7 linked regions of the Oryctolagus cuniculus genome follow. The protein of the gene in region 5 interacts with the protein of the main gene of each other region in a pairwise test. Links are inferred from orthologs where the notes say so. Each region holds a gene or a part of one and is shown on either strand. Other genes may lie near its edges.

Region 1 (3,999 bases), on a different chromosome or scaffold from region 5:
GATGTCTTCTATCTGCTGGTTCACTCCCCAGATGGCCGCAACGGTCAAAACTGGGCCAATCTGAAGCCAGGAGCTTCTCCTATGTCTCCCATGTGGCTGATTTCACAAACACCTTCTGGGAGGGGACTACCAGCTGTGGGTAATGGATGAATGAAGACAAACTTACTTGCCTTTGGTGGAGACCGCACTTCAGCCTAGAAGAAGAGTTGGACCTGAGCCGGTGACAGGGGTGCGAAGTCGAGTGGGAAGGAGCAGCTTCGCAAGACCTGCAGGCCTCAGTGACTGGCAGGTAGACAGAAAGCAAGTAAGCCAAGATGTCATCTAGACAGTCCTGAGAGGCACAGCTTAGGCAGCTGAAGAATGTAAGGAAAGAACGCAAGTGGCTGGCAGGGAGAGATGCAGACTTGCATTAGATCTGAGGTCAACATCAGCATCTGGGGGCCTTTAGAGATGTGGGTCCGGGGTACAGGGGAGAGGTAATAGCTGAAGATCAAGTGTAAGAGTCTTCCCAGTCGAGGCCGACTTTTGTGGCATAATGAGTTAAGCTGCCGCCTGCCGCTCCAACATCCCATATGGGCACTGGTTCGAGTCCCAGCTGTTCCTCTTCTGATCCAGCTCCTTGTTAATGCACCTGGGAAAGCAGCAGAAGATGGCCCAAGTGCTTGGGCACCCACATGGGAGACCTGAATGAAACTCCTGGCTCCTGGCCTCCGCCTGCCCTAGCCTGGGTCGTGGAGGCCATTTGGGGAGTGAACCAGTGGATGGAAGGGCACTCTGTCTCTCTCTCCCTCCCTCCGTCCCTCTCTGTAACTCTGACTTTCAAATAAATAAAATAGATCTTAAAAAAAAAAAAAAAAAAAAAGTCTTCCCAGTGGACAAAGCCATGGGAAGGAGCATAGTAAGAGAAAAAGTGTTCAGACTGCACCGCAGGAGTCCCGCTCCTCTGAGGTGGCAGCGCCAGTGGGCAGGAGTGACCAGACAGGAAAACCAAGAAGGCAAGGGGGCAGAGTTTCAAGTAAAGGCAGGTGTCAACAGAGGAAAATGCTACAAAATCAGTTACCAGGGCTCACTGCAAAAATAACAAATATTTGTGGGATGAATGAAAGAACGGAAGGAAGGCAGGAAGCCCTTGAGTTGCCCATCCACTTTCCTCAGTCAGAAGAATGGCCCGGGCTGCCCTCCGACACCGGGGTTTCGGAGTTAAGTCTCACCCCTCCATCCTATGAAAACACGTCTCTTCCGCCACAAGCCATCCTGTGCACCGCACAGACATCCTTCCCTGCCTCCCCGACGGTTTCCCATCCTCCTTCCCGGCTTCCGCGTCGGAGCAGGTGGGAAACTGAAGTTCCCACTTCATTCACAACTCTGCGTCCGGCTCCCCTTCCACCAAGGGCTATGTGGCAACGGGCAGGAGGAGCACGCTGGCCGCCAGCCCCACTCGCACGGCTCACTCGCTGTGTGACTTTGGACAAACCCGCCAGCCTTTCGGGACCCAGCCTTTTACTCAGAGCGGAGGAGGCGGATCTGTCTGGAACCCAGACAAGTTTCGGCGCTCCTCCGAGCACTACAGTCTATGATTTTATCATTCTCAGAAGGTCCTTGCAACACCCTCGGAGAAGGAAGTGAGACCCAGAATGACCGCCGGCCCTCTCCGAGGGGCCGAGCGCCAGGACTGAAGGGGCGCACGGCGAGAGTGAGACGGCGCGGCCGGTCCCGCGGATCCCCAGAGGGCGCGGCCCCCTCCCAGCGCTGGCGCGGAGCCCCGCAAACCCGAGGGCGCCTCTCGCTCCGCACCCCACCTCGCCACAACTCCCAGACGGCCAGGAGGCTCTAAAAAGCCCTGCGGGGGGAAAAAAAATAAAGATTTCTTTCCCAGAGTCCTGCGCTGCTTTTGCAAGTCGGATTCCGGCAGACGCGATCCGCAGCCCGAGAATGACACAGTCAGTCTCGGGAAGGAGCGACCGACCGTGCCGAGTCGTGGGGCCGCCCGGCAGTTCGCGCCGCGCCCCGACGGGCAGGCGTCCGACCCCGGCCCGGGCTGCCAGGCCGCCGGCGCCCTCGCCCCCGGCCCTCCTCCCCGCGGCGGCCCCGCTGCGGTCTGCGAACATTTCCTGCCCCCGCCCCCACCGGCCACCCGGAGCTTCCCAGTTGGAGCGAGTTGGTCTCGCAGCCCGGTCGGCGTCCCCGGCCTCGTCAGGCTCGGAGCTGCGCTGGGAGAGCCCAGGCGCCAGGGGCCGTGGGAGGTCGCGCCGGGAGCCCAGGGCCCCGGCGAGCAGGGGCCGACCGGCGAGGTGCCCGTGGCCCTGCTCGTTCCCCGTGGTTACCTGCTCGCTTGCGGGGGTGTCCTGGGGCGGCTGGCCTCTCCCCGCGCTGTCTCCCCACGCAGTTGCCCATGCTGGCTCCTCAGCCGGTCCCCATGCACCGGAGGCGGCGGGGTGGTCGGCTGCTCCGCGCCCCTGCCCCGGACGGCGGCGTCCCGGGTCAACGGCTCCTGCCGCCCGGCATCTGACGCTCCGGATCTCCCCCCGGGGGGGCGCGCTCTGCCCCGGCGCCGGCCTCGCCACAAACTTTGCGGACCCGGGGAGGGAGGGAGGGAGGTGGCCGACTCCCCTGCTCAGTCCCAGGTGGCCGGGCCAGGGGGGCCCGCGACGGTGCCCGGCCGGAGACCAGCCCCGCTGAAGGGGCGGAGAGAGGGGGCGGGCACCGCCGCAGCTACTCCCGGCTCGCTTGGGGCTCCCAGCTGGGGCCGGCCCCCCGCAGCCTGTCACTCACCTGCCTAACCCCGCCCCAGCCCGGCCCCACTCCCTTCCGCCGGCTCGCGGTGCCCGCGCCGCCGCCGCCACCCGCCCCAGGTGCGCATGTGACCGACGGCACCGCCCCCTTGGGCCGGGCCTGATTTTCTCATTGGCTTCCCCCAGGGTGCGTACCGCCCCTCGGCCCCACCCAACCAGGTGTCCTCCCCGCAGCCCGTCTCCCGGGGAGCCGGGCCGGGAATTATTCGCCCTCAATGGCCCCCGACTGCGTGCCCAGCGAGCCGCCTTCGCTCTCCGCGCCACCGCCCCGGCCCCAGGCCCCACCCCTCGGGGAGGGGCCTTCCCTCCCCTCCTCTACCCTCCCCTCCCTGGAACTGCCCGATCAAGAGCTGGCGGCCACGTGATCCAGGGAGCGCCCCGCCCCCGCGGCATCCACCCAGCGATTGGCTCAGGGGGCGCGTGCGCAGACAAGCCTGTCTCGCGCCTCCGCCTCCTTCCCCTCCCACGGTCGCTCGTTAGCGTCATGGCCGCCGCCGCCGCTCCCCAGGAGGCGGCGGCGCCTACGGGCCCCCTGTGGGGACTCGTGCAAGACTTCGTCATGGGTCAGCAGGAGGGCCCCGCTGACCAGGTGGCTGCAGGTACGGCAGACAGCGCCGGGCCCCTTCCGCTTGGGGGCCGACAGGAGGGAGCGGCCTCAGCACAGGCGCGGAGCGGGAAGGGAGTGAGGGGCAGGATGACTTTGAGAGATCAGTCTCAGGGCTGCTTAGTGAGCATCGAGCTTAAGAAGCGTAACAAGTTGGAGAGTCGCGCGCATCTTCCATACAGCGCTTTTACTCTCGACGTCTCCTCACAGCCAACGGTAGACCGTCATTACATGTCACTGACGAGGAGACGCAGGCCCGGAGAGCTGCGGCGCGGGCGGGAGGGGAGCTGGGGCTCAGACTCGGGAGTTCAGGTGGCTCGGGCTGCCGGCTCCGGGAGACCACATTGTTTGTGGAGATTGACGTGGGGAGGTGACTGCTGGGCGCGTCCGCTCGCGGCGCGCGGCATCTTGGGAGTGGCTGTAGTCGGAGCGAGCCGAGCGGCCAGTCGGGGCAACTGGAGGTGGTGTCGCATCCGCCTCTAGACTTTCCCTCTGTGTCTTGGTGAAGTTCTTGATTACTTTTGCATCGTGACTTTTGTGCGGCATTATTTTTATCTTTTTCCCAGATCCCCTGTCTCCTCTGCTTTGGACCTGTTCAGGGAA
Region 2 (4,048 bases), on a different chromosome or scaffold from region 5:
ACACCTCCCTTGCAGGCTCGCAGGCGCTGGTCGGGAAACCCTACCCAGAGCAGGGCCCCGGCCCCGGCCCGAGGACGGCCGCGGCTCACCCTGGTTCCGGATGGAGTCCTGCGACGTGGGGCCCCGGGCCCGGGGCTGCTTCTGCTCCAGCCGCGCCAGGGCGGCGGCGGCCGCCATCTGCGCCTCATCGGTGGGTCCCTGGCGGGGCGGCCTCAGAGCCAGCTGGCTGGGTTTCTCTTTGGGGGCCTTCTCCCTGCGCAGTGACCGAGGCAGCGCGAGATCAGAGGGGAGGCTCCTGCCCCGCCCCTGCCCTGGCACGCAGACCCAGCCCTGCCGGCCCCGGGGACACCACTCCCCGCGGCCTCCCCCGCCCCCCCCCCCCCGGCTGCAGCCCTGGGCTCAGGTCGCCGCCTCCTCACGGCCCCGAGACCCTGGGGACGCCCACACCGCGAGCCCGGGTCCCAGCACCCTGGGGCAGGGGTGACGGCTCAGGCAGGGCCCCCCCGCACCCATGGGCTGAGTCCCCGGCTCATGGCTGCAAGTGGGAGCCTCCTCTCTCTGCTTTTCCAATCAGCAAAAAATATATTTAAAATGTTTATTTATTTGAAAGAGTTGGGGAGAGAGGTCTTCCATCCTCTGGTTCACTCCCCAAAAGGCCATTAATGGCTGGAGCCGCGCCAACCCAAAGCCAGGAGCCAGGAGCCGCATCCGGGTCTCCCACGCAGGTGCAGGGGCCCCAGCACTTGGCCGTCATCCACTGCTTTCCCAGGCCACAGCAAGGAGCGGGATTGGAAGTGGAGCAGCTGGGACTCGAACCAAGGCCCGTATGGGATGTGGCCCTGCAGGCCAGGGCTCTAACCCGCTGCGCCACAGCGCCGGCCCCAGAGAGCAGCCTGGGAAAGCAGCGGCAGCGGCCCACGTGCGTGGGCCCCCTGTGAGGCCCACCTGAGGCTCCCGGCTCCAGCCTGGCCGTGCTGACCACGTTGGGGGTGGGCCAGCAGAGGGACCGGCCCCTCTCTCCCTGACTCTTCCAAATAAATGAGAGATAAATCTTAAAATCTCCCTGCAAACCTTCACGGCTCTGGGAAGCCCACATGCCAGCCACGACCCCTGCTACCCGGCGGCTTCCAGTCCAGCAGGCCGGGGGGCGGCCGCAGGGGCACGTGGACACAGCCCCGCGCGGACAGGCGCTGAGCAGGCCGGCCGGGAGCCCCCCGTCCAAGCCCCGGCTCCGAGCCGCTGGGATCTGGGGGGCTCGCCTTCCTTCTCCACCGTGGGCCCCGGCAGACCCCTGGGCGACCCCTCCCCGCCCGTGGGCAGCGGCCTGGACGAGGCCTCCCCCCGGCTGGCTGCTGGCCCAAGAGGACCCCCGAGGAAGCCCCCTGGCCCTGTGGCTGCTCCATCTTCCCCCAGAGACTCAGTTCCCCGACGCCCTGGCCAGCCCTTCCCGTGGCCTTGAAGGCCCGCCCACTTGGGGTGCCTGCCTCCCCCGTCTACACTGGGCTCCCCGCTGCTCCTGTCTACACCGCCTGCCTGTTCCTCACGCGGTCCCCACTGGAGAGCCCCCACACGTCCTGTGTCTCCCGCCCAGAAAGTCCCACGGGGTGGGATGAGGCCGGGGGTCTTGGAGGCAGCAGGGAGACGCCCCTGGTCCACGCCAGCTCAAGGCCCCCCCACCCCCTTACTTCCCCTGTACGCCGCCTCTATCTGTCCTAGGCGGACCCTAGCCCCTCCCGCCAGCCCTCCCCATCCCCCGGGCCCCTCCTCTCGTGGAAACGCGGACGTGGCCCCCACTACCCCACCGCCCAACCCGCCCCCAGACTCTCCAGAAACCCACACCCTGCACGCCCCGCCCCCGCCTCAAACGCCCCGCCCCCGCGGTCATCCCCGCCCCCACGCCCCGCCCCCGCGGTCGTCCCCGCCCCCACGCCCTGCTCCGCCCCCACGCCCCGCCCCTGGGTCATCCCCACCTCCCACGCCCCGCCCCCGCGGTCGTCCCCGCCTCCCACGCCCCGCCCCCACCCCGCCCCCGCGGTCGTCCCCGCCCCACCCCCGCGGTCGTCCCCGCCCCCACGCCCCGCCTCCCACGCCCCGCCCCCGCGGTCGTCCCCGCCCCCACGCCCTGCCCCTGCCCCGCCCCCGCGGTCGTCCCCAACCCGCCCCCAGACTCTCCAGAAACCCACGCCCTGCACTCCCCGCCCCCGCCCCCGCCTCCCACGCCCCGCCCCCGTGGTCGTCCCCGCCTCCCACGCCCCACCCCCGTGGTCGTCCAAGCATCCCACGCCCCGCCCCCGCGGTCGTCCCCGCCCCCACGCCCCGCCCCCGCCCCGCCCCGCGGTCGTCCCCGCCTCCCACGCCCCGCCCCCGCCTCCCAAGCCCCGCCCCTCCCCCGCCCCTCGGGGGGTGCGCCCCCGAGCTGTCTCCCCGGCCCCATCGGCCCCGCCCACCGGAGTGTCAGCCGCATCGGCCCCGCCCCCAGGGGCGCCCCTCGGCGCCCGGCCGCCCCCTCCCAGCCCGGGCCGCACCTGCCGCCCCCTCCCCGGTCCCCAGAGGCCGCCCACCCCGCTCCCCGGTTCCCAGCCCCCTGCCCCGTTCACCGTCCCCTACCCCGCGGAGTCTGTGAGTTTCTGCCCGGGCCCCGCGCTCTTGAACTTGATGTCTGCCTTGATCTCCTGGAAGAATTTCTTCATCTTGGCGGGGGGCCCGGCGGCGGGGGGCCGCGGCGGGCGCGGGGGGGGGGGCGCACGGCCCAGGCAGGGAGGGGCTGACAGAAGCTAACAACCGGAAAGAAAATAGCGCGGAGCCGGAAGTCCCGCCTTCGCGGGCCGCCCACGTGACAATCGACCCGGGTACCTCGGAGGCGGCCGCTCTGTATTCTGAAGCCGCGTCTCGGTGGTTCTTCCGGCCTCCGTTGCCAAGGCGACGAGCGCGCTTCCCCGCGGGCCGCCGCGCTGGGAGTCCCCGGCCTGGGCCCCGGGGAGCTGACCGTGGGGCCGGCTGGGCCGCGCGGAGAAGCGGTCAGGGGCGCCCCTGGCTCCCGGGCGCTTACGTCATAAAGCCCCCATTCAAGGTCCCCCGGGACCCAGCCCCACTTTGCCCACAGTCGGCGCCCCGCGAGCCCCATGGGGCCTTGGGGGCCGCTTGGGCCGGCAAGGCAGAGAGGAGCGGGGTGTGCACCGACCGAGTGGCAAAGGGGAGCCCCCACCCCCCAAAAAAAACTCTGAGCGCGCAGGCCCTGGAGGGAGATAGGCGGGGAGGGGGCGAGGGGCCGCCCCCAGCCCCAGGACCTTTGCCTGGGGGTCAGCAGGGGGTCGAGGGGGGGGCCCTGGGGTGGGAGAGCCCCCCGCGGGCGCAGACGGAGTCAAGGCAAACTCGCCTTCCCGAACGAGGGTTCCCTGTCCACAAAACGGTGCTGGGAATAAAAGACCCCCGCCACGGAGGACCCTGGTGGGGACAGCGCGGCCGCGGGCCCGTGTGAGAGCGGCGGGTGCCTCTGTTGAATTCGCCCTGAGCAAGCTGCCGGGTCGGACCGTGGGGAAGACAGAATTGTGTGCATCGGGGAGCCCGGCAGGTTTAGGAGGGAGGCCGGGAGGGATGGGAGAGGTCTTCCACCTGCTGGGTCACTCCCCGAATGGTCGCAACAGAAGCCGGGGGCCAGGAGCTCCATCCGGGTCCCCCACGCAGGTGCAGGGCCCCAGGACCTGGGCCATCGTCCGCTGCTCTCCCAGGCCACAGCAGGGAGCTGGATCGGGAGCGGAGCGGCCGGGACACCTGCTAGGCACACCGCACCGGCCACAAGGGGGCACAATTTTCACTGTCAAAGGGACCCTTTTAAAGAATTATTTGTTGTAAGGGGCTGCACCAGGCCCAAGCCAGGCTCTAGGAACCGCACGCGGGCCCCCCAGGCAGGGGGCGGGGGCTGTCTTGAGCCACATTGGGGAGAAGCAGGACTGGAACCAGAGCCCCTACAGAGCCGGTGCTGGCTCAGGCAGCTGCACCATGGGGGCCGGCGCCGAGGCGTGCTGGGCTGGGCGCCAGTTCGAGTCCT
Region 3 (4,212 bases), on a different chromosome or scaffold from region 5:
TTTTTTAAAGAATTATACTGTAAGGTTACAGGCACCGCAGGTGTGGATGGTGACTCCGTTATGGGTTCTTAACTTGAAACTCCCTCAGCACTCCTGACCTAACTCATAGAGTTAGCCCTTGTCGATTTCCTCTCCTCAGCATCTAGTATAGTAACAACCCTGAAGGAGCCGCTCAACAATTAGGTGTTAATTGTTGATTGATTTCACCCCACCATCCACTAATTTCACCCTAAGACTCAAGTGTAATTAAATGGCAAGTCACTTCTCTAAATTCATATTTTCTTCAGTTTCTTAGGTCCCAGGGTAGTTTTAGATTTTTAGATGAGACTACAGTAGTCTCTAAAGTGCTATCATTCTCCAAAAATGCTTGGCATCACTTCAACTCCGGATCTGAACACCGCGGGGGGACAGGTAAGTGGCAGCAGCACCAGACTGAACACCAGGTCTGCTGTCACCTTGGTAGTCTTCATTTTTGTCACAGTTCCCGGCACAACCATAATCTTCAAATACATAGATGATGTCTTGAACAAGAAATAAGTGGCATTTAGAATCAAGTACCTTCTAAAATACAGAAAGCTGAGTCAGTTTCTCCAATAATCGGGGACTAGGTTGATCCGAAATGACAAGAAAGCATCTTCCTAGGCAGTCATATCTTGATTATAGATAGGATTGTATTTTACAAATAAATTATTAAATATATTGTTTTTATTTCGACCCAAGGGGCCTGCGTTGCAGCTAGTTGAGAACTTGTCTTGAGTTTAAGGAATCATGCAGATTATTTCAGCAGCAAGGACTGTATTGCTCTGAATTTCAGTAAATCAACATTTCACTATACACAGGCAACTAAAACTCAAAATCATTTTAAAAATGATCAATGCGGACCGGAATCAAAACGCATCTAGTTCCAAAGAGGTATAGACCGGTACCTCCGGAAGCACCGCTTTACATTCCCTCAGTGCAAGGAAAATTCCTGTTCCTTAGCTTTTTTTTTTTTTTCATCATTTGAAAGAAGTTTATAATGATCCTCACACCTGTTAGGTTAGAATCGTCAGCACGATTTTTTACCAGAGAGGATCAGTGGAGATGGAGTACGGAGTTACTACCACAGATATTAGTCTCGACGACACTAAGATTTTTTTCCTTGCTCTGCAAAATGCACCGGCCAACCGGATTTTCTGGGACGTGCTGGGTGGCCGACATTTTCCCTAGTCGGAATCTCTCCAAAGATCTGAATGCATGTCCAACGGTCGGGCTTACTGCTGGGCGGCTCTTGACCGCGGGACATGGCAGAAGAACCCTGGCCCTGCGGAGCAGAGCGAAGACGCCGGGACCCTGCAGGAGCCGAGCCCCGGCAAGGAGCCGCTAGTCCGCCCGCCGACCGCGGCCCGGCCACCGAGCGCGCAGCGCGCCGCAGGCTTCCGGCTCCCGGCCGCCCGCCGCCCGGCTCGGCCTCTGCGTCAGAGCCGCGGAAACCCCGTAGGAGCAGGCGGGCGGGGCGGGCGGGGAGCGCGGCGTGCGGCCGCCGCTGCTGCAATATTCTTCCGCCGCCACGCAAAGAGCCCTAGTTCGCCTCCAGGTTTTGGGATTTCCAGCAACCCTGTAATATCGAGAAATTACGACATGTGAATTTTTCCACTGACTTCCTTAGGAATCTTTCCTGAGAGAACGGCCCCAGGATTCTAATTTTGGGACTAACCAAAGCGCGGCGACGATATTCCTCCGCGGAAAACGGGTTCCGGCCGCGAGCCTATAAAAAACGGGTGGCACGGCGCTGCTGTCTTTTCAGTCGGGCGCTGAGTGGCTGTTCGGACATGTCTGGTGGCTCTGCGGACTACAACAGGTATGGCGGCCTCTCGGCGGTGGTGTTCTGTGGTGAAGGTCAGAGGGCGCCCAGGGAGGCTGTGGTGAGTGCTGTGAGGGCAGGAAGCAACAGGCTCACGGGTGTTTTCGTGGGCTACAAATACCCCCCCGAGTCCTTCGAGAAGCTTCCATGATGGGTAGGACTGCAGGGGGACGCGAGTTACGGAATTGGAGTGGTCTCCCCTTTCAAAGACGTCTAGAAATTTCGGCCTTCACTCCTCGCCGTGCGGAACACGGTACATATCTTAAATAAAAGCCGTGGCCCAATCCGCATTCGGAACGGGGTGGTAGGGGCCGACGCTTTCTTTGCGGTCAACGGCGCGAGTTGGTCTCGGGCTTCAGCCTGAGGGCAGTGGGGGCAGCGGGGTCCACTCCGCCGTGCCCGGAAGGAGACGGGACTGGACCGGCACCGGGGCTGGGGGCGAACCGTTGGCATTGCCCTCGCCGGGCCGCCCCGGCCGCGTCAATCACCCCGGCTTGCGCAGTGTCAGGGGCGGAGCTCAGCGCGTGGAGCTCTCGCGAGATCTTCGTCGCCAAAACGGGAGAGCCCGGGGGGAAGGGGCTGGTGTTGGCGGGGCCTGCGTTGGGGCTCTCCCGCAGGAGACATGCCGGGACGTTGCGTGGCCCGCACACGGGCTGCGTTTGCTCTCTGGGCAGCGTAGGGGCAGGCCCCGAGGCGAGGCGGGTGGCGGCGGCTTGGGAGCTGTCTTAACTGCTGTTGTGTACTTGCCCGCAGAGAACATGGCGGCCCAGAGGGAATGGACCCCGATGGTGTCATCGAGGTGAGAAATGGGTGTGGATTTTGAAGCCTTGCAAAGGTGTGTGCGCGCGCATCTCATTTATCCCATTTAACTTCTTTTTAAACTTAACAGAGCAACTGGAATGAGATTGTTGATAACTTTGATGATATGAATTTAAAGGAGTCTCTTCTTCGGGGCATCTATGCTTACGGTTTTGAGAAGCCTTCAGCTATTCAGCAAAGAGCTATTATTCCTTGCATTAAAGGTAAAAGAAAACTCTCTAGCATTTAAAAACAGAAAGTGAATTCACTGTTAATGATAGACCTGGACCATAAAAGGGAGCGGAACCTGTGGGGGACTAGCACCTGTTTGTATTCCTTAAAGTGAAATGATGGCAATCATCTTTCGGGACTGACCTGAAATGACAGAATACTCATTGCTGATCACTTGATTATTGGGGCATAATTTATGTTCCAAATGGAATACATGGTGTGAAGTAGAAGTGACAATTTGATGTGGGATCGGTAAATATGTATCCTACTTTTTTTAGGGTATGATGTGATTGCTCAAGCTCAGTCAGGTACTGGCAAGACAGCCACATTTGCTATTTCCATCCTGCAACAGTTGGAGATTGAGTTCAAGGAGACCCAAGCACTAGTATTGGCCCCCACCAGAGAACTGGCTCAACAGGTATTGATAGTGTAGTTCAAAAAAACTGCTTGCGTGTTGCATAGGTTTCAGGTTTCACAACTGTGAAGAATTTAAAATTTAGGGTAAATTAGTCCTGTCAGAGCCCTCTTAATTGTCCATGCATGCAGGGAGTTTTTGTTGGAGGTTACATAGGAACTGGGTGTCTAGGTACTGTGTGTAGGGTTGTCTCCCCAGACTGAGGCTGTGAAGCTTTCTGTTCAGGATACCCCATTCCTATATCCATTTTCCTTACGTTCAAGTGCAGTTGTGCAACATGAAAACTGCAGTGACATGTTACCATTTGACTGTCTCAGTAGTTTGTGATGCATCTGTTGCATGCTATGTTTTCAAAGCTTACTGTTAAATTGGCTTTGAAGTAAACCTTCCTAATAAAGCCACAGGCTTTATTATGGTCAAGATCATAAAAAGGTACAGTTCCCTGTGGGGAAAATGACCAACATTTGTCCTAGCTGTAATTAACAGAATTTAATCAATATTTACACCTTTCCTACATAATGAAGAATAAGATAGGATGTGCTTCCTTTTTTTTTTTTTTTTAGTTGCCTAGCAGATAATCTGGGGCAAGAGGATCAGTTTGAGGCATAAGAAAGACAGGGAATTTTATTCTTGAAGCAGTTAGTCTGCATTTTAAGCTTGGAAGTAGTTTGCTGTGCATGCATAAAAGCTATTGGCAGACCAGATAACTTGCCATTATGCTTTGGCAGTTAGTCATAGAAACTGCAGCCCTACAGGATAATAATTACCGATTTTGGCTTTTAGATCCAAAAGGTAATTCTGGCACTTGGAGACTATATGGGAGCAACTTGTCATGCCTGCATTGGTGGAACAAACGTTAGGAATGAAATGCAAAAATTGCAGGCAGAAGCACCACATATCGTTGTTGGTACACCAGGGAGAGTAT
Region 4 (4,271 bases), on a different chromosome or scaffold from region 5:
AATATTGATTGAGTGCCTACTAGCGCCAGCCACCTTAGCAGGCTCTAGGCCCCAACACCATCCCTGTAAGGAGCTTCTGTTGGCCAGTGTTCACCTTAATGCGTAGACTTCCACAAGCCTGGCCCAGTGGTTCATCGTCAGCAGCAGCAGCAGAGGCAGGGAGTTTGTTAGGCACCTCCTTAGGCCCAGCCTACATTCTTTTTTTTTTTTTTTTGACAGGCAGAGTGGACAGTGAGAGAGAGAGACAGAGAGAAAGGTCTTCCTTTGCCGTTGGTTCACCCTCCAATGGCCGCCGCGGCCGGCGCGCTGCGGCCGGCGCACCGCGCTGATCCGGTGGCAGGAGCCAGGAGCCAGGTGCTTTTCCTGGTCTCCCATGGGGTGCAGGGCCCAAGTACTTGGGCCATCCTCCACTGCACTCCCTGGCCACAGCAGAGGGCTGGCCTAGAAGAGGGGCAACCGGGACAGAATCCGGCGTCCCGACCGGGACTAGAACCCGGTGTGCCGGCGCCGCAAGGTGGAGGATTAGCCTAGTGAGCCGCGGCGTCGGCCCCAGCCTACATTCTAAAGACGAGGCTCACCAATACGATTAAAAAAAAAAAAGAAGAAAAGAAAAAAACTTCCAGGGGTTTTGATGAACACTCAAGTTTGAAAACCAAGGTTTTAGTTCCACAGATTAGCGGTCAGTATCTGGTTTCTAAACCCACTTCAGATCTTTCCAGGGGAAACCTATCTCAAATAGAAGCAATGGGCTCCAACAATAGCCGCCCTGAGTTTAATGACGGGTAGTCCCTCAGATGATCATTGTTAAGAGTGGCAGTCATGCTCTGCCCTCCTCTCCCCCCCACAAAGAAAAAAACCATAAAAAAAAAAAAAAAACCAGCAAAAAAACCCAAGCCACCGCGGTGGCTTTTCTGGGGCTGTCCTAACCGACCCTGGGCCGACCGGGGCCGCGCTTTCACACAGACTCGGCGGGCACACGCAGCCCGGATCCGGCTGAGTCAGGGCGACGCTCAGGCCGCGTGGGGCCGCAGGAAGCCCTCAGCCGGGCTCGGGCCTCCATGCAGAGGCCAGGGGCCGGCAGCCCCGCCAGTACCACACTGGGGGTCGTCCAAGCGAGGCGCGGGTGGGGGGAAGCAGGGGCGCAGCGGCGAATCCGAGAGGCCGAGGCAGGGATGGCCAGCGCGGAAGCCGCACCCGCCCGGCCCCAGACGCCGGCAGGGCGGAGTCACGCGTCCGCAGCTCCGGCTGAGACGCGCGGCGCGGCGCGGGCTCGTGGCTGAGGCGTATGGGGCTACAACGGGAGCGGCTGCGCCGCCCGGCCGGGTCGGTGTCGTGCGCATGCGCGGGTCCGGCGCCATTTTGGTGGCCGGGCGCGGAGGTGATTCCACAGAGCAGAGCCCGGCGGCCGGGGTGGCAGCGGCGGTGTTCGTGTGCTGGGATCTGAATCTCCGAGGGAGGAGGCGGTGGAGGAAGAGGTGGCGGCGGTGGCGGTGGTCGTAGCGGTGGCGGAGGAGGCGGGTACGAATCAGCTGCGGGCGGAGACATGGCCAACATCGCGGTGCAGCGAATCAAGCGGGAGTTCAAGGAGGTGCTGAAGAGCGAGGAGGTCAGAAATGAACTCCCGGACATTCCCCCACCAAGGCCCAGGGCGGGCGGGCCCTCCCAGCGGCGACCCCGATATCCCCGGTGGCCCTCCCCGCGGCCGCCCTTTTGCCTGTGGGGAAGCGGCCGTCTCCCCCTCCTCCTCCCGCCGCCTTCCCCTCCCTTCTAGGGCCCTGGGGTGGACGGCTCGCGGGCGGGTGGTCTGGGGAGGAGTACGGTTTGGGGGGGGGCGGATGAAGAGGGGTGCACTCCGCGGCGGGGTACGAGCTCTCTCTCCCGAGCCTCGAGGCGGTGGCAGCAGCTGGAAGTGTGGCTGTGGGGTGTGGGAAGGCAGCAAGGCCGGGCCTGAGAAAACCCGGGAAGTGGGTTGGGGGAAGGGGAAAGGTGGTAACTGGATCCGGAGAGCAGCGCTGCTCCAAGGCCCACACTCTGAAGGGTCTTGGGGTTGTTGCCTGTTAGGCCTTTGCTGTCCGTTCCGAAGGCGAGGAGCGATGAGAGCCCTGAGGTGCTGGGGGAAGGAGAAGGACATGCAGAGGTATTCCCTCCTAGTTAGGCGTGGGGAGACAGGAAAGGCATAATGGGATACTAGCTTGTTTGGGGGATGGGATAAAGGAATTTTCACCTGAGATAGGGAATTAATTCCAAATGAGATCTTTATCTCCTTTCCACGTGCCCCCCAGTTCCTAGGCCTCTTTATTGACATCTAGTGCTTTTTAACGGGGCAGAGGCTAGGTAGTGTATTAAAGATATTTACATATTTTTAGCTAAGGAAAAAATAGTGAATGAGTAGCTTATTTGAGAACATTATTTACAGGTTACATATCAGACTGTCTCAAGACAATGCCTCTGTGACTCGTGTTGGGCCATGAAACTCCATTATGATGTCCCTCATGGTTAAAACTTGTGTCTTTTAAAAATAGACCCATTAAAAACAAAGGATTTCACCCTGTTAATACATTGTTGTCTCTTAATTGAGTAGGTTTAACTCAATATACATCTCTTGACATAGCATATTCTTTATTTTTAAATTGTCTTTTTCTGCCGTTGAGTCCTGCAGAATTTAGATGCCTTACTTCTGACCACATTTACTTATGTAAGGTATTTAAAATGTCCTAGTAATTCTGACTCGAAACTCTGCAAGTGTCAGTACAGTTTGTCATAACTACTGAAAATTACTATTTTCGAGATCCACACCCATGTCATTATTGAATATATCATTGCTATTTGTGTCTTTTCTAATTGTTGCTTTGATAATGTCAATAAAGATTTGTGACACTCAGCCTTCCCAGGATGTGATGAGTAATTGACATAGTCTAATAGCACTTAAGCTTTATTTGTGTCATTGAATCTACTGTGATTTCATCTTTCCATACATCAGATGTGGAGAAAATCATTATAAAATTCAAAAATGACAAATACTAGCAGATCTATTGACTATAGTAGTACGTAAGTCATGATCAGCTCTACAGAGCATGTGTATGAACTCTGACCTTTGTGTTCGTTCATATGCCAAAACTCTGAATGGAAGGATGACTTTGTATTTTTTGTGGTACAATGCAGAATAGAGTCATTAATGTCTGGAGAGTGTGCAGTGAAACAGTGGTACTAACTTTCTATTTAGTAATGATAAGAAAGATGTATTCCAGGGTAGTTGATGTATATATTCCTAATGAAGAATTGCGGCTAATATTGTTGCTAACATCCTAAAACATTTCCTTTATAATAAGGGTGTACAAGCCTGAAACTTAATGAACTAATAGTTGTGGTGTTTTTTTTTTTTTTTTGTATTATTTAAAAGTGGTAAGTTACTGCTTCAGGTAATTCACGTGATCTTTTTGCTTTATGTGAGGTGACTTTATCATTGTATTCTTAAGGACTTAAGTTGAGGATTACCAGAAATACTTGTATTACCCTAGAAGTGCATATTGTTAAAATAATCTTTTTTTTTTTTTTTAAATGTAAGGGCTACTAGAGCCTTACTTTTAAAAGTGTCATAGTATTTTAGAGAAAGCAAGCAGGAAATACAAACAAAATTATTTTTAAAGTACCTTTATAAATCTGGAAGGAAACTGCTTCGGAGAAAGTGAGTTGCGAAGAACCTTTAGTTAAGGTCAAGCAGTTTAATCTTGAAATAAATATAACTAATAAACAGCTTTATTTTCATCAATATTTTAGTGGGCCCAGTTATATAAGTAGATTATGTTGATTATTTTCAGCTTATTGAAGGACTGGTGTTCTTTGTAAGGGTATAAATGCAGTATTTTGAATGGCCGATCAGTAATAAGTTATTTCGTCATGTCACGTTATGTGAATCTCTGGTTTACTGAAGTTTATTTCCTGTTCTTGTGTTTACTAAAACTAGTGGTTGATTTAAAGACCCCCCCTTTTTTGGGGAGCCCTTTTGTGTCTTTGTGAAGATAGCTAATGTCACAAGAGGTTATACACAACTATTAGAATATGTATTTGTGCAGGTGAAAGCATCATGAGAAATTGGTAAAAGTAGCTTCTTTTGTGTAGGGGGGTTGGGTGTATAGGGTATGAAGAGATCTGTTCAGACTAAATAAAATACATAAAGGCACCATCTAAGCCTGTTTTCCTTAGGACAGTGTTAGAAATCCATCTTGTAGCTGTTGGAAACTATTTTCTAAAATTGAGTTTTAGGTAATAAT
Region 5 (2,384 bases):
CCTCCACCTCCCAGTAGTGTCGACCTGAGGTGAAACCTTCAGTAGCCAGGACACAAGGGTAGAAGGTGAAACGCCGTGGTGTGTCGGGGAGATCCCGGAGTCTTGTCTCCACGAACTTGACGCTCTTACGGTCTTCTGATAGGACTAGGTTAGGATGAGCAGTCTCGGGGTCCAGGGTCACATCCGCTGGCGGGAGAAGCCAGAGTGGGGAGCTAGATGAGGATGGGAATAGCTAAATGTCCCTGCCTCACTTTTCCAGCCTGCCTCTACAGAGCCTGGTCCCTTAAAAGTTACCTCTCTAACCCAGGGCGTCTCCTGAGGGAGAGGAGAATGAAGGCTACCCTTCTCATCCCGACCCTGCAGGGACCACTCTAAGGTTCCCACTCTCCCTGTCATCCTCCGACATCATCATCTATTGCTCTGTACAGAGAGGTGCAAGGCATGGTCTGAGGGCCAGGAAGGAAAGTGTTATGTTAAGAAAGATACAGAGCAAGACAGCACTATGGTCTACGAATAGGGTGAGGTGTATGTGTTTTCCCAGAGCTGTCCTGGTTAATGACCACTTTCCTTGCATGAATATTAAGGACACATCCTTTCACTATTCAGCTCATCCTAGCTTTAGACGGCCACCCTATCTAACAACCTGGGCAAACTATTTAACCTTTCCAAGTCTCTATTTAGAAAAGTGTGGATCTCAGAGTAGGTGATACCTAAGGCTTCTTCTCATTTTGAGTTCTGTGACTCAGGGTGACATTCAAAGTTGGGTGAAGATGGGTGTGTGAATGAAGAGAGACGGGATAACTGAAGCCCACATAAAGTAGGGTCTGAAGACTTTGTTCTCTCTGGCAATTCCCTCTGCTAATTTCCTTTTGGGAACAACTCACCAATTAGCTGTTTAAGGATTTTCCTTAGGGCAAAATACTGTCGGGGAAAATTGCTGAAGTTCTTTTCCAGCTCTATAGATACTGAAGTCACTTCCATGGTCTTCACCTTCTCACATCTAGGAGGGGATGGGGAGATTAAGGGCAAGGTTAGGGGAAGCTGAAGCCAGGCGGCTATCAGATGTTGTCATCTTTAGGGAGAAACTAAAACTCCATCTTCCCACTTTCCCCTCCTCCCTGAAGACAACTGCTTCCTTTCGCCAATCCACAGAGAGCCACTGGTTCCCGGGACAGATTCTTATGTTGACAAGGTCAGTGGTGGGTGGGTGGGGGGAAGGGGTGTGTCTTATATTTCATGCCCATGGGTAAGCCCATTGGCTCCACCAACCCGTTCCTCCTGCCATCTTGCTTGGACGTAATTTACCAATAGACGCAAGGAGAACCTGTTTCTATGTTATCATTCTTCTTACTGAGGAAGTCCTGATGCTCAAAGGGGAAAAGGGATTATTAGTCCTGATGATCTGTTCCCTAACTGGTTTCTTGGACCTTCTCCCATATCCTACCCAGCCTGTATGACTTTCCCCTCATTATTCCCCCACCTCCTTACTGAACTCCCAGCATCTAAGACAAGCCCTAACTCACTCAAAGAGATTTAAGAATCACTTACTTTTCCAGGGTACTTTTGACATCCTAGAGGGAAGGAGAAAAGAAAGCAATATTGGTCCTGGTATTCAAGGGTCCTGAAGGCAAAAGGTTTCCCCTCCTCCCCAAAGCTCTAGATCTCTAAAAAGGCACAGAGAAAACTGAGGGTCCCAGTGCAGGGCGAAGAGTTCCAGGGGCATCCGAGCTTCTCTCCCAACTGGATCCCCATTTTCAACTTTTGGTCATTGTGGAGCTTGATAATTTGAATCACTTCCAAATGGTTTCTTGGTGTTTGTCTTTGCTCCTCAGGCTCACTGGGAGCTCCCTGCAAGGGACAGGGATTGTGTCTGCTCTTCACTCTGTGCCCCAAGTACCAACCACACACTGTGTCTCCCTGAGGATCTCAGGACAGAGAATTCTGACTGGCAGCACAAAACAAACCACTCTTTCCTGTTGTGGTTTGGTATTCCCTAGCCAGCACTGGTTAATGAACATTAACAACTGCGTGCCAATCCTAATTTGAGAATACTTGGGGTCCAGAAGACAAAGAAGACAAATCTCTGCCCCTTAAGGATTTTCCAGTTTAATGTGGAAAGCAGAACACACAGACATGAAGAACACGGGAATAATAAATACCGAGCAATACACAACATGCATATAAATGTACAATGAAGCCTCAATGATTCAAATGCTGGTAATCTGATATCTAAGATAAAAAGTATGTCCCCTACAGCCTGGCTAATATGATTTATCTGTTTAAGAGAATAACACTACTTCAAACATTTTAGAGGCATCATTGGTATATCAAAAGCAAGGTATTCTTTACAAGTATCCTTTAAGCTATGTTTCTGTTCTTCAGCA
Region 6 (4,005 bases), on a different chromosome or scaffold from region 5:
TATTCTAGAAAATATTCCCTCTCTGTTTTGCAAATTATAAAATGGCCTCGATTTTATACCCAATTTTTAATCTAGTAGGCAAAGGCTGAAGTCAGTAGCAATGGAAGAAAGCCAATATAATTTAGTAAATGTGTGCATTACCCTCCATTGCCTCTAAGCCCTAAAAACTGGCAAGAAGGAAATGGACTTCTTCCATTATCTCGTATGCTCATTTCTATTCCATCTATCCTCCAATCTACTTTTATGGAGAGTTCCTTCTACCACTATTCTGTACAATAAATACATTTCTTTTCACCTCCAACTGCCTACACAGGTACTGGCCACATCATCCATTCATTCAATATTTACTGAATGCCCTCTGTCTTCCATGTACTGTGACAGATTCCAAGTATACAAAGAAGGATTAATGGAATATATACTGATTTGATATTTTACAAGTCAACTTATTAAATTAAATGGTATTATAATATTTCAGTCAAAATTAGCTACAATTTAATAGGTTAGTTTGCAGATTTTTTATTTGGCTGTTTCCAAACAGGTCGACTTCCTGTATTTCACAGAAAACAGACTGTTCTTCACCAGAGCACAGCAATGACACAGGGAGTCTAATTTTTGTATGTAGGCATATACATCTCTTACTCTCAATTTAAGGAAAATGCACAAAAGCTGACCATGATATTATTTTTATTGAAAAGCAATATAAAATGGAAATAATATGAATATTTTACATTATTTCTTCTGTTATATTTTTATGCTTTGTGCTGGAATTTACTTCCTGAAACATTTTACATTGGATTTCCACATTATTGGATATCTATTAGTGTTCAATTAGAACAGCTTAAAAAGCTGCTAATCTCTAGCTTTTCAGACCTTTCTTCTTAACATGTTTACTTATGTACAATGTGCAGATCTGATTTTGTTCTCCTCCACTCAGCCAACAGTTCTTTTTGTACATCTTCTGGCAGTTCATAGAAAATTTGAGGGTCAATGTCAGAAGGAAAAGTAATTTTCTCGTCAGCAGAATCTTGCTCTCTATTTTCTGTAAGTCTTTCATCATGAGAACCTGTTGCTATTGTTTGCTTATGGCTATGTGCAGTGTGGCTTTTAGTGAATAGTTGATCACTTTGCAAATTTGGAAATGAATGAAAAACTGATACAGCAGGGTTTGTATTTGAAAAGTGGAACCCCTGAGATTCTTTAGATTCTTGACCTGTTCTTTCATCTTTCAGTCTACTATCTACATAATAATCCTTGTGGCTAGACAGAAAAGAAGAACTACTGCTATTTAAGCCTGATGTTCCAGGTTCACACAAAGAGGATACCTCTTTGCTACTGGATAAATGATCTCTAGTATTCAAGGGAGTATCTCGCATTTGTTTTGTAGAGAAGAAAGACAACACTCCTCTAGAGGCATGCAATGGACAACTCAGACTTTCTTTTCCTTGAAAATTCTCTGTAGATTTCCCAGAAAGGATTTCTTCTTGAATATCTCTTGGAAGCTGCTTAAAGACTTCTTGGTCAATACCCTCAGGAAGTGAATGGAGTGGAAATTCATTAATATCTTTTTCTTTAGAAAAATCTGCAGTATCTACTGGAGACTCCCCAGTCCTTGTACTTTCAATTCTTCCACTTGGTACAAAACTCCAATTTGTTTTTTTGTCTTTAGAAAAATCTTCCATATGAGTGTCTTTTATTTTCTAGAACACAAGGATAACAGAGTAATTTAGATACCTGACATCTTTTAAACACCGTCACTGCTGAAGAGTGCCAGTAGCTAGTATCTGACAAAATGTTTTTATCCTACTCAGCAACTTCAAACCTTTATGTTCGGTTCCAAACAACTACAGATGATTAGTCTCACACTGCTGTATGGGCCTTTACTCACTATTCTAGGAGGAGGCTTCCTTTCTAGATAGCACTAAGTCAGAGCAGTATTCAGAGGCCTAGAAAGATCTTAACAATCATGTGTTCAAATTTGCAATACTATAAATAATAGAATGGCCTTAAAAAAGCTAATTGATTCATCTAAGGAAATATTTTTTAAAAGGCAGAAGTATGGGGCTGGCGCTATGGCACAGCCGGTAAAGCCGCTGCCTGCAGTGCCGGCATCCCATGTGGGCACCAGTTCAAGTACCGACTGCTCCACTTCCAATCCAGGTCTCTGCTGTAGCCTGAAAAAGCAGTAGAATATGGCTCAAGTCCTTGAGCCCCTGCACCTGTGTGGGAGTCCCAGAAGAAACTCCTGGCTACTGGCTTTGGATTGGCATAGCTCTAGTCATCCCAGCCAATTGGGGAGCGAACCAGAAGATGGAAGACTTTCTCTGCCTCTCCTTCTCTTTCTGTACTCTGACTTTCAAATAAATTAATAAATCTTTAAAAAAAAATAGGAATTTAACATCAAGGACTGGTATTCCAAAAATTACTTTTATTATAAAGAGTAACTTTAAGAAAAGCAAAAATGATTTGGTAATGGTAAAAGTTGACATCATTAAGATATAGCATTATTTTACATGTAAGTAAAATAAAAATTTAAAAACCTCCACTTCTCATTTGTACAATATGATTTTTCACTTAAATTTCTCCTTTAGCTTTAAGCTCCATTAAAATGTATATATTTTCAAATAGTACTCAGTAAGCATCAATATAATAATAACTTCAAATATTAAAAGGAGGGGCTGGCGCTGTGGCGTAACAGGTAAAGTCACCACCTGCACTGCCAGCATCCCATATGGGCCCAGTTCAAGTCCCGGCTGTTCCACCTCTGAATGGCCCAAATCCTTGGACCCCTGCACCCACATGGGAGACCCAAAAGCAGCTCCTGGCTCCTGGCTTCAGACTGGCACAGCTCCAGCCATTGCAGCCACTTGCAGAATGAACCAGCGGATGGAAGACCACTCTCTCTCTCTGCCTCTCCTTCTCTCTCTGTGTGTAACTCTGTCTTTCAAATAAATAAATAAATCTTTAAAAAAATTAAAAAGAGTACAAGAGATTAACATCATATTTATTAAGCACCTACAGTATGTTAGACATATGCAAGGTACTTACATTTATATTTATTTCTATAATGCCACAGTAAATTAGCGGTCTAAAATTCCTATTCTTCAGATTAATTAAAATATAAGAAGTAAAATTTTTTAAAAATTTTCTATAAATGGAATAAAAAGGATACCAAAAAAAGTAATTTAAAAAGGGCATTCAGCCACTATTTACATAATACTATATTTTCATTTTTAATATAAGTGGAAAGAAAATATCACTAAATTATAGTATTAATTAAATTATAAATTTAAAATTTTTTTGTTTTAGTTAAAATTATAGGCATTAACAATTTAATAAAAGATTTTTTAAAAAAACATGCCAAATTTACTAAATTTTTAAAAAAGTTTTAGTGTTGAAAATGCTGGTTTATACCTCTATGTATGCAGTTAATTTCTACAATTCTAAAATCAGTAGTCATTTCTATCAATATTTATCAGAATACAGTATCATTTCAAAACTAAGAAAATTCAAAGACTTGAGCTACAAAGTTGTCAGAAGGGTGCTGGCAACATATATATAAATTGATAATAAGATCTGATCTCTAGTGTCTGAAGATATGCTTATATTTATGAGCTAATCCATCATATTCTGTATACTGGTAGAAAATGTGTTCACTTCCAAAACAGTGACTCTCCATAGTGTTTTTCTCTTTTACTCAGGGATGCTACGTCTTCTTATTAGAACACAATACATTTAAGGTCAGCAACCATAATATGGTAGGTAAAGCAACTTCAGTAAGTTTGTGGGAAAGTGGAATTAAAAGATAAGTTCATTTTGATGCCAAAAAAATTGCAATCTACACTTGTAAAGGAGTCTTCAAAGAGTTTACAGAAAATACATATTAGGAGAAAACAATGCATGGATTTCAAAAATTTTTTGCACCAAAATAAACTTATCTTTTAATTCGCTTTTTCTATAAATGTTCTGAAGTACTCTCATAGCCCAAACAAGTAAATCATCCAAACA
Region 7 (4,023 bases), on a different chromosome or scaffold from region 5:
AGGAATGAACTGCGAGAAGATCCCAACTCAGCAAAAAGGGACAGAATGGAGGCAGGAGGAACAAGTAACCTAGGGGGAGGAAAAAGGGAGAGAAGATTGAGGATAGGAAAGTCATTGGAAAGGGCAAACACTGCTGAAGAGCCTAATAAAAGGTGGTGTTTCAGTTTCTGGTTAAGTCTGCTGTGAGTGAATGTGGGAAGGTTGTGACTCAGGACTTGGAATCATGAGTGTTGTTTTAGTATTAGTTTTTAAAATAATCTTAGAGCTCATGGAGGCCTTTAGTACTCACATAATGGTCTGAGGTACTGGCATCACGGGGGATGCCAGACCTGAATCGGAAGTGGCACCGGAGGGCCCAGCCTCGTGGCACAAAAGGTTAAGCCACTTCTTTTGATGCTGTCATCCCATATTGGCTGCTCTGCTTCTGATCCAGCTCCCTGCTAGTGTGCTTGGGGAGGCAGTGGAAGATGGCCCAAGGACCTGGGACTCTGACAACCCTGTGGGACTCCAGAATGCAGTTCCAGACACCTGGCTTCAGCCTGGCTTGACTTGGCTGTTGTGGGCCTTTGGGAAGTGAACCTGCAGATGGAATATGTCTCTTTCTCTGTCTCCCTGTCACTCTGCTTTTCAAATAAATAAATAAATAAATAAATCTTAAAAAAATAAAAAAGGAAGTAGCATTTGAAGTGAGATTCCCAGATAATTCTATGCCTATTAAATTTGGAGGAGTACTGAGACAGGCCATCTTCCTCATTTCACAGAAAAGGAAACGGAAGCCCCAGATTTGCTGTTTCTCAAGATCAGGTTGTAAAGACCAGGAGAGTGCCTTCAGGAAATGACTAGGAATTCAATGTCAGACGACAAAGAGGACCGTCAAATGGGAGTGAAATTTCAATAGTTACAGTTTCCTGACTAATAGCACAACTATGGTATATCAGAGTAGAAAAGTAGAATGGTCTATGCTTCTCAAAATTAGGTCTGGAATTGAAAAGGTAGACTTCACAGGAGGTTAAGGGAATACAAGAATTTGCTAACTGCTACAGGAGCTACCCTTTCATACGGACGCCTTGGGGAGTGGGTGAGGTAGGAAGGAAGGCAGGTAAAGCCAGATGGGGGTGAGCAATAGAGTCTGTGTCCCTCAGGAATGGATAGGCCAAAGCGCAGGCAAAGGAACTGGTGGCTGGGCTGAAGGAATGGGGCAAGTAAGAAGACTGGTCAAAATGAGGAACTTGCAAGTTTGAAATTCTGAAACCAGAATTTTTAAAGTAATATTTAAATAATCAAAATATCTAGTTTTCCCATCTCATAGGGACCAAAAAATCCTCAGTGTAAGGTTAGAAAATAGTTGAGACCAGGTAGGAGAAATAAGTTCATGGAAAATATGTATTATGAAAAAATTTCAGGGGCCTAGCACTGTGGTACAGTGGGTTAAGCCCTGCCTGAAATGCCAGCATCCCATATGGGCACCTATTCAAGTCCTGGCTTCTCCACTCCCAATCCAGCTCCCTGCTAATGCACCTGGGAAAGCAGTGGACGATGGCCCAAGTACTTGGGCCCCTGTACCAACATGGGAGACCCGGATCGAGTTCCAGTCTTCTGGCTTTAGCCTGGCCCAGCATGGCTGTTGTGGCCATTTGGGGAACGAAGCAGAGGATGGAAGATGGCTCTCTCTCTGACTCTCCTTCTAACTCTGCCTTTCAAATAAATAAATCTTAAAAAAAATAAAATAAAATAAAAAAAAAACTATGCATGGATTTCAAAATATTTTTGCACTAAAACAAACATCTTTTAATTCCATTTTTCCACAGATGTTTTAAGGTACTCTCAGATAGCCTACTGACATCTGAAAGGCACACAGTGTTCAATAGTGATTTCCTCAAATAAACTTTCTTTGGCGTGTCCATAAACAAAAGGAATCACATGACTTGCTTTAAAAAATAAAAAAAAAAAAACTCTTTATCTAGGTAAAGCAGCAATTAATTTTTCCTTACACTTTCTCTTCAAAAACATGGTCTGAGCAGAGTTTATTTCTTTAGGAGCAGAGATCAGAGGGCTGGACTTGGAAAAGACCCATTTCATCAAGGATTTGACCACGCCTGCCAGAACAGGACTAAGTGCCAAAGGACATGACCCTCAATTTGAGTCAATAGCTATTATCAGGGTGACAGCTTCCTGGAACACAAATTTCCTCCTGAATACAAGTAAGCCTTGAGTGGAAGGTTTTGAGTGTACGGCTATGTGAGGCAAGTAATATTTTCGGTAGGTATATAGTAATGCCCTAACTTAAGTGGGGGGGAAAAGTTGCTTCTTTTTGTGAATTTACATTTTTACAATTCCATAATAGAGCACATGAGGGAGTGGTAGAAGACTGTAAGTACAAGGAAAAGTTTTCATTTTCTGTCAGTTGTAAAAGAAGCGTGTTTCAAAAGAGTTCACGGGGAATGATCCTTTTTTTAAAAATTGGAATATACGTACAGGAAAGTGGGCATATATAGTGTAACAACCTGATAGCAATATACTCCTCAGCTATGCAGCAGAGAACAGAAGAAAACACAGCTGTGGATTTTAGGGCATGGTCACTGAAAAGAGGAACACAAGAACCATGTAGTTCAAAGAACTAGCAACACAGCACACCTCAGGTTCCCAGTCTGGCGGAGGGACTTACTTTTCTGAAGACTTGCCATAGCCCTCTCCAGCGGCACCTGTCTCATGGCACTGGCAACTCTAGCCCATCCTGTCAGGACACCGTTCTGCTCCAGCAGAGCCAAATGGACAGAACTGTCAGGGAATTCCATTGGCACCTCTCAGGACACTGACATTCCGTTCTGATGCAGTCACAGAAAGCACAAGAAACCTCCCTAAATAATGACCTTTATTTAGATGTGAACTGAACTCAAGACTTAATAATGTTCTAGTCTGGCTGAGACAGATGAGGCAATCTGATCTGGCCTCTTTTTAAAATGAATGTATTCCTCTAACATATTAGAAATTGAAGCCAAATATTTGCTTCTTGGGCTGGATTTTAAATAGCTCCAAGGAGATGAGTTGGGAACTAATTTTAATGTGGTTGAAACGAACTCTCTACATCCTCATTTTTGTCAGCAGCTACCAAAAAACCTTCACATTATTGCTATTTATAACAAATTATCATGGTTATCTTAACAACTCAATCTATTCGACAAGAGTATACTGCTGAGAGCCCTCTGGTAGCAAAACAAACTATCTTTAGCTGCCATTAGTGACTAGATAATTGTCTTCCTGCTTATTTCAATTCTCAGTTGAGAGCGAGTTGTGTCTGCAGTAGAGTCCCTGGAAGCATTCATTAGATCAAATACTGCCAACAAAGAGCAAACTTGGGTAGAGAGAACTTCAGGAAATCTTCAAACACCATAAAATGGAGATGACAAGAGAAAATGCATTTTTCAAGATTTATGACATTCACTCATCTGTGTTCTTGTCTCGTATTTTGTTTCATCCCATTCTTTCCTTTTCTTTCTAAGATTTATTTATTTATTTATTTGGAAAGCACAGTTAGAGAGAGAGAGAGAGAAAGGGAGCAACACACAGAGAGATTCCACTTACAGGTTTATTCCCCAAATGGCTGCAATGGCCAGTGCTGGGCCAGGTTGAAGCCAGGAGCCAGGATCTTCTTCAGCATCTCCCACATGGATCCAGGGACCCAAGCACGTGAGCCATCCTCTACAGCCTTCCCAGATCATCAGCAGGGAGCTGGATCGGAAGTAGAGCAGCTGGGACTCAAACTGGTGCCCATATGGGATGCCAACATTGCAGGTGGTGACTTTGCTATGCCACAGCACCAGCCGTCTTGCTATTTTCTATGGCTTCCTCTTAAGAAGACCCCTGAAAGGAATTCCCTGCGCTTATGTAATCAGACAAGCAGAGCGCTGGGCACTCGCTGGGATGGGGCCGGGAGAAGCGGCTCTTCTCTCCTTTCTGCCCTTTCCAAGTGCTTTGGACTACCCTTTTTATTCACGTTCTCCTCCTGCCTCCCATGGGGCTGCT

Evidence for each region.
Region 1: the proteins of TRIM39 (region 5) and UBTD1 interact in binary tests that used the Homo sapiens proteins (3 or more experiments, as listed by UniProt). The two-hybrid records come from large-scale screens. The link is inferred for Oryctolagus cuniculus from reciprocal best matches to the Homo sapiens genes TRIM39 and UBTD1.
Region 2: the proteins of TRIM39 (region 5) and UBXN6 interact in binary tests that used the Homo sapiens proteins (3 or more experiments, as listed by UniProt). The link is inferred for Oryctolagus cuniculus from reciprocal best matches to the Homo sapiens genes TRIM39 and UBXN6.
Region 3: the proteins of TRIM39 (region 5) and EIF4A2 interact in binary tests that used the Homo sapiens proteins (3 or more experiments, as listed by UniProt). The two-hybrid records come from large-scale screens. The link is inferred for Oryctolagus cuniculus from reciprocal best matches to the Homo sapiens genes TRIM39 and EIF4A2.
Region 4: the proteins of TRIM39 (region 5) and UBE2K interact in binary tests that used the Homo sapiens proteins (3 or more experiments, as listed by UniProt). The link is inferred for Oryctolagus cuniculus from reciprocal best matches to the Homo sapiens genes TRIM39 and UBE2K.
Region 6: the proteins of TRIM39 (region 5) and POLI interact in binary tests that used the Homo sapiens proteins (3 or more experiments, as listed by UniProt). The two-hybrid records come from large-scale screens. The link is inferred for Oryctolagus cuniculus from reciprocal best matches to the Homo sapiens genes TRIM39 and POLI.
Region 7: the proteins of TRIM39 (region 5) and PSMA6 interact in binary tests that used the Homo sapiens proteins (3 or more experiments, as listed by UniProt). The two-hybrid records come from large-scale screens. The link is inferred for Oryctolagus cuniculus from reciprocal best matches to the Homo sapiens genes TRIM39 and PSMA6.

What each region holds. Positions count from the first base shown.
Region 1 is NC_091446.1:32,352,465-32,356,463, forward strand, and holds the start of UBTD1 (ubiquitin domain-containing protein 1), read right to left. Parts: upstream 2,801-3,999; 5' UTR 2,395-2,800; coding exon 2,325-2,394; intron 632-2,324; exon of another isoform or gene 167-631; intron 1-166. Other genes in the region: MMS19 nucleotide excision repair protein homolog, read left to right, coding at 3,277-3,391. UniProt on the Homo sapiens protein: May be involved in the regulation of cellular senescence through a positive feedback loop with TP53. Is a TP53 downstream target gene that increases the stability of TP53 protein by promoting the ubiquitination and degradation of MDM2.
Region 2 is NC_091447.1:59,807,306-59,811,353, forward strand, and holds the start of UBXN6 (UBX domain-containing protein 6), read right to left. Parts: upstream 2,801-4,048; 5' UTR 2,691-2,800; coding exon 2,608-2,690; intron 254-2,607; coding exon 90-253; intron 1-89. UniProt on the Homo sapiens protein: May negatively regulate the ATPase activity of VCP, an ATP-driven segregase that associates with different cofactors to control a wide variety of cellular processes.
Region 3 is NC_091435.1:96,444,626-96,448,837, forward strand, and holds the start of EIF4A2 (eukaryotic initiation factor 4A-II), read left to right. Parts: upstream 1-1,412; 5' UTR 1,413-1,811; coding exon 1,812-1,840; exon of another isoform or gene 1,841-1,904; intron 1,905-2,596; coding exon 2,597-2,642; intron 2,643-2,732; coding exon 2,733-2,865; intron 2,866-2,981; exon of another isoform or gene 2,982-3,049; intron 3,050-3,150; coding exon 3,151-3,290; intron 3,291-4,070; coding exon 4,071-4,212. UniProt on the Homo sapiens protein: ATP-dependent RNA helicase which is a subunit of the eIF4F complex involved in cap recognition and is required for mRNA binding to ribosome.
Region 4 is NC_091433.1:33,549,090-33,553,360, forward strand, and holds the start of UBE2K (ubiquitin-conjugating enzyme E2 K), read left to right. Parts: upstream 1-1,471; 5' UTR 1,472-1,543; coding exon 1,544-1,606; intron 1,607-4,271. UniProt on the Homo sapiens protein: Accepts ubiquitin from the E1 complex and catalyzes its covalent attachment to other proteins. In vitro, in the presence or in the absence of BRCA1-BARD1 E3 ubiquitin-protein ligase complex, catalyzes the synthesis of 'Lys-48'-linked polyubiquitin chains.
Region 5 is NC_091436.1:139,953,702-139,956,085, forward strand, and holds part of TRIM39 (E3 ubiquitin-protein ligase TRIM39), read right to left. Parts: intron 1,572-2,384; coding exon 1,549-1,571; intron 1,001-1,548; coding exon 885-1,000; intron 213-884; coding exon of another isoform or gene 187-212; coding exon 1-186.
Region 6 is NC_091441.1:23,987,528-23,991,532, forward strand, and holds the end of POLI (DNA polymerase iota), read right to left. Parts: intron 2,935-4,005; coding exon of another isoform or gene 2,740-2,934; exon of another isoform or gene 1,698-2,739; coding exon 888-1,697; 3' UTR 501-887; downstream 1-500. UniProt on the Homo sapiens protein: Error-prone DNA polymerase specifically involved in DNA repair. Plays an important role in translesion synthesis, where the normal high-fidelity DNA polymerases cannot proceed and DNA synthesis stalls. Favors Hoogsteen base-pairing in the active site.
Region 7 is NC_091443.1:40,254,564-40,258,586, forward strand, and holds the start of PSMA6 (proteasome subunit alpha type-6), read right to left. Parts: upstream 2,801-4,023; 5' UTR 2,796-2,800; coding exon 2,666-2,795; intron 1-2,665. UniProt on the Homo sapiens protein: Component of the 20S core proteasome complex involved in the proteolytic degradation of most intracellular proteins. This complex plays numerous essential roles within the cell by associating with different regulatory particles.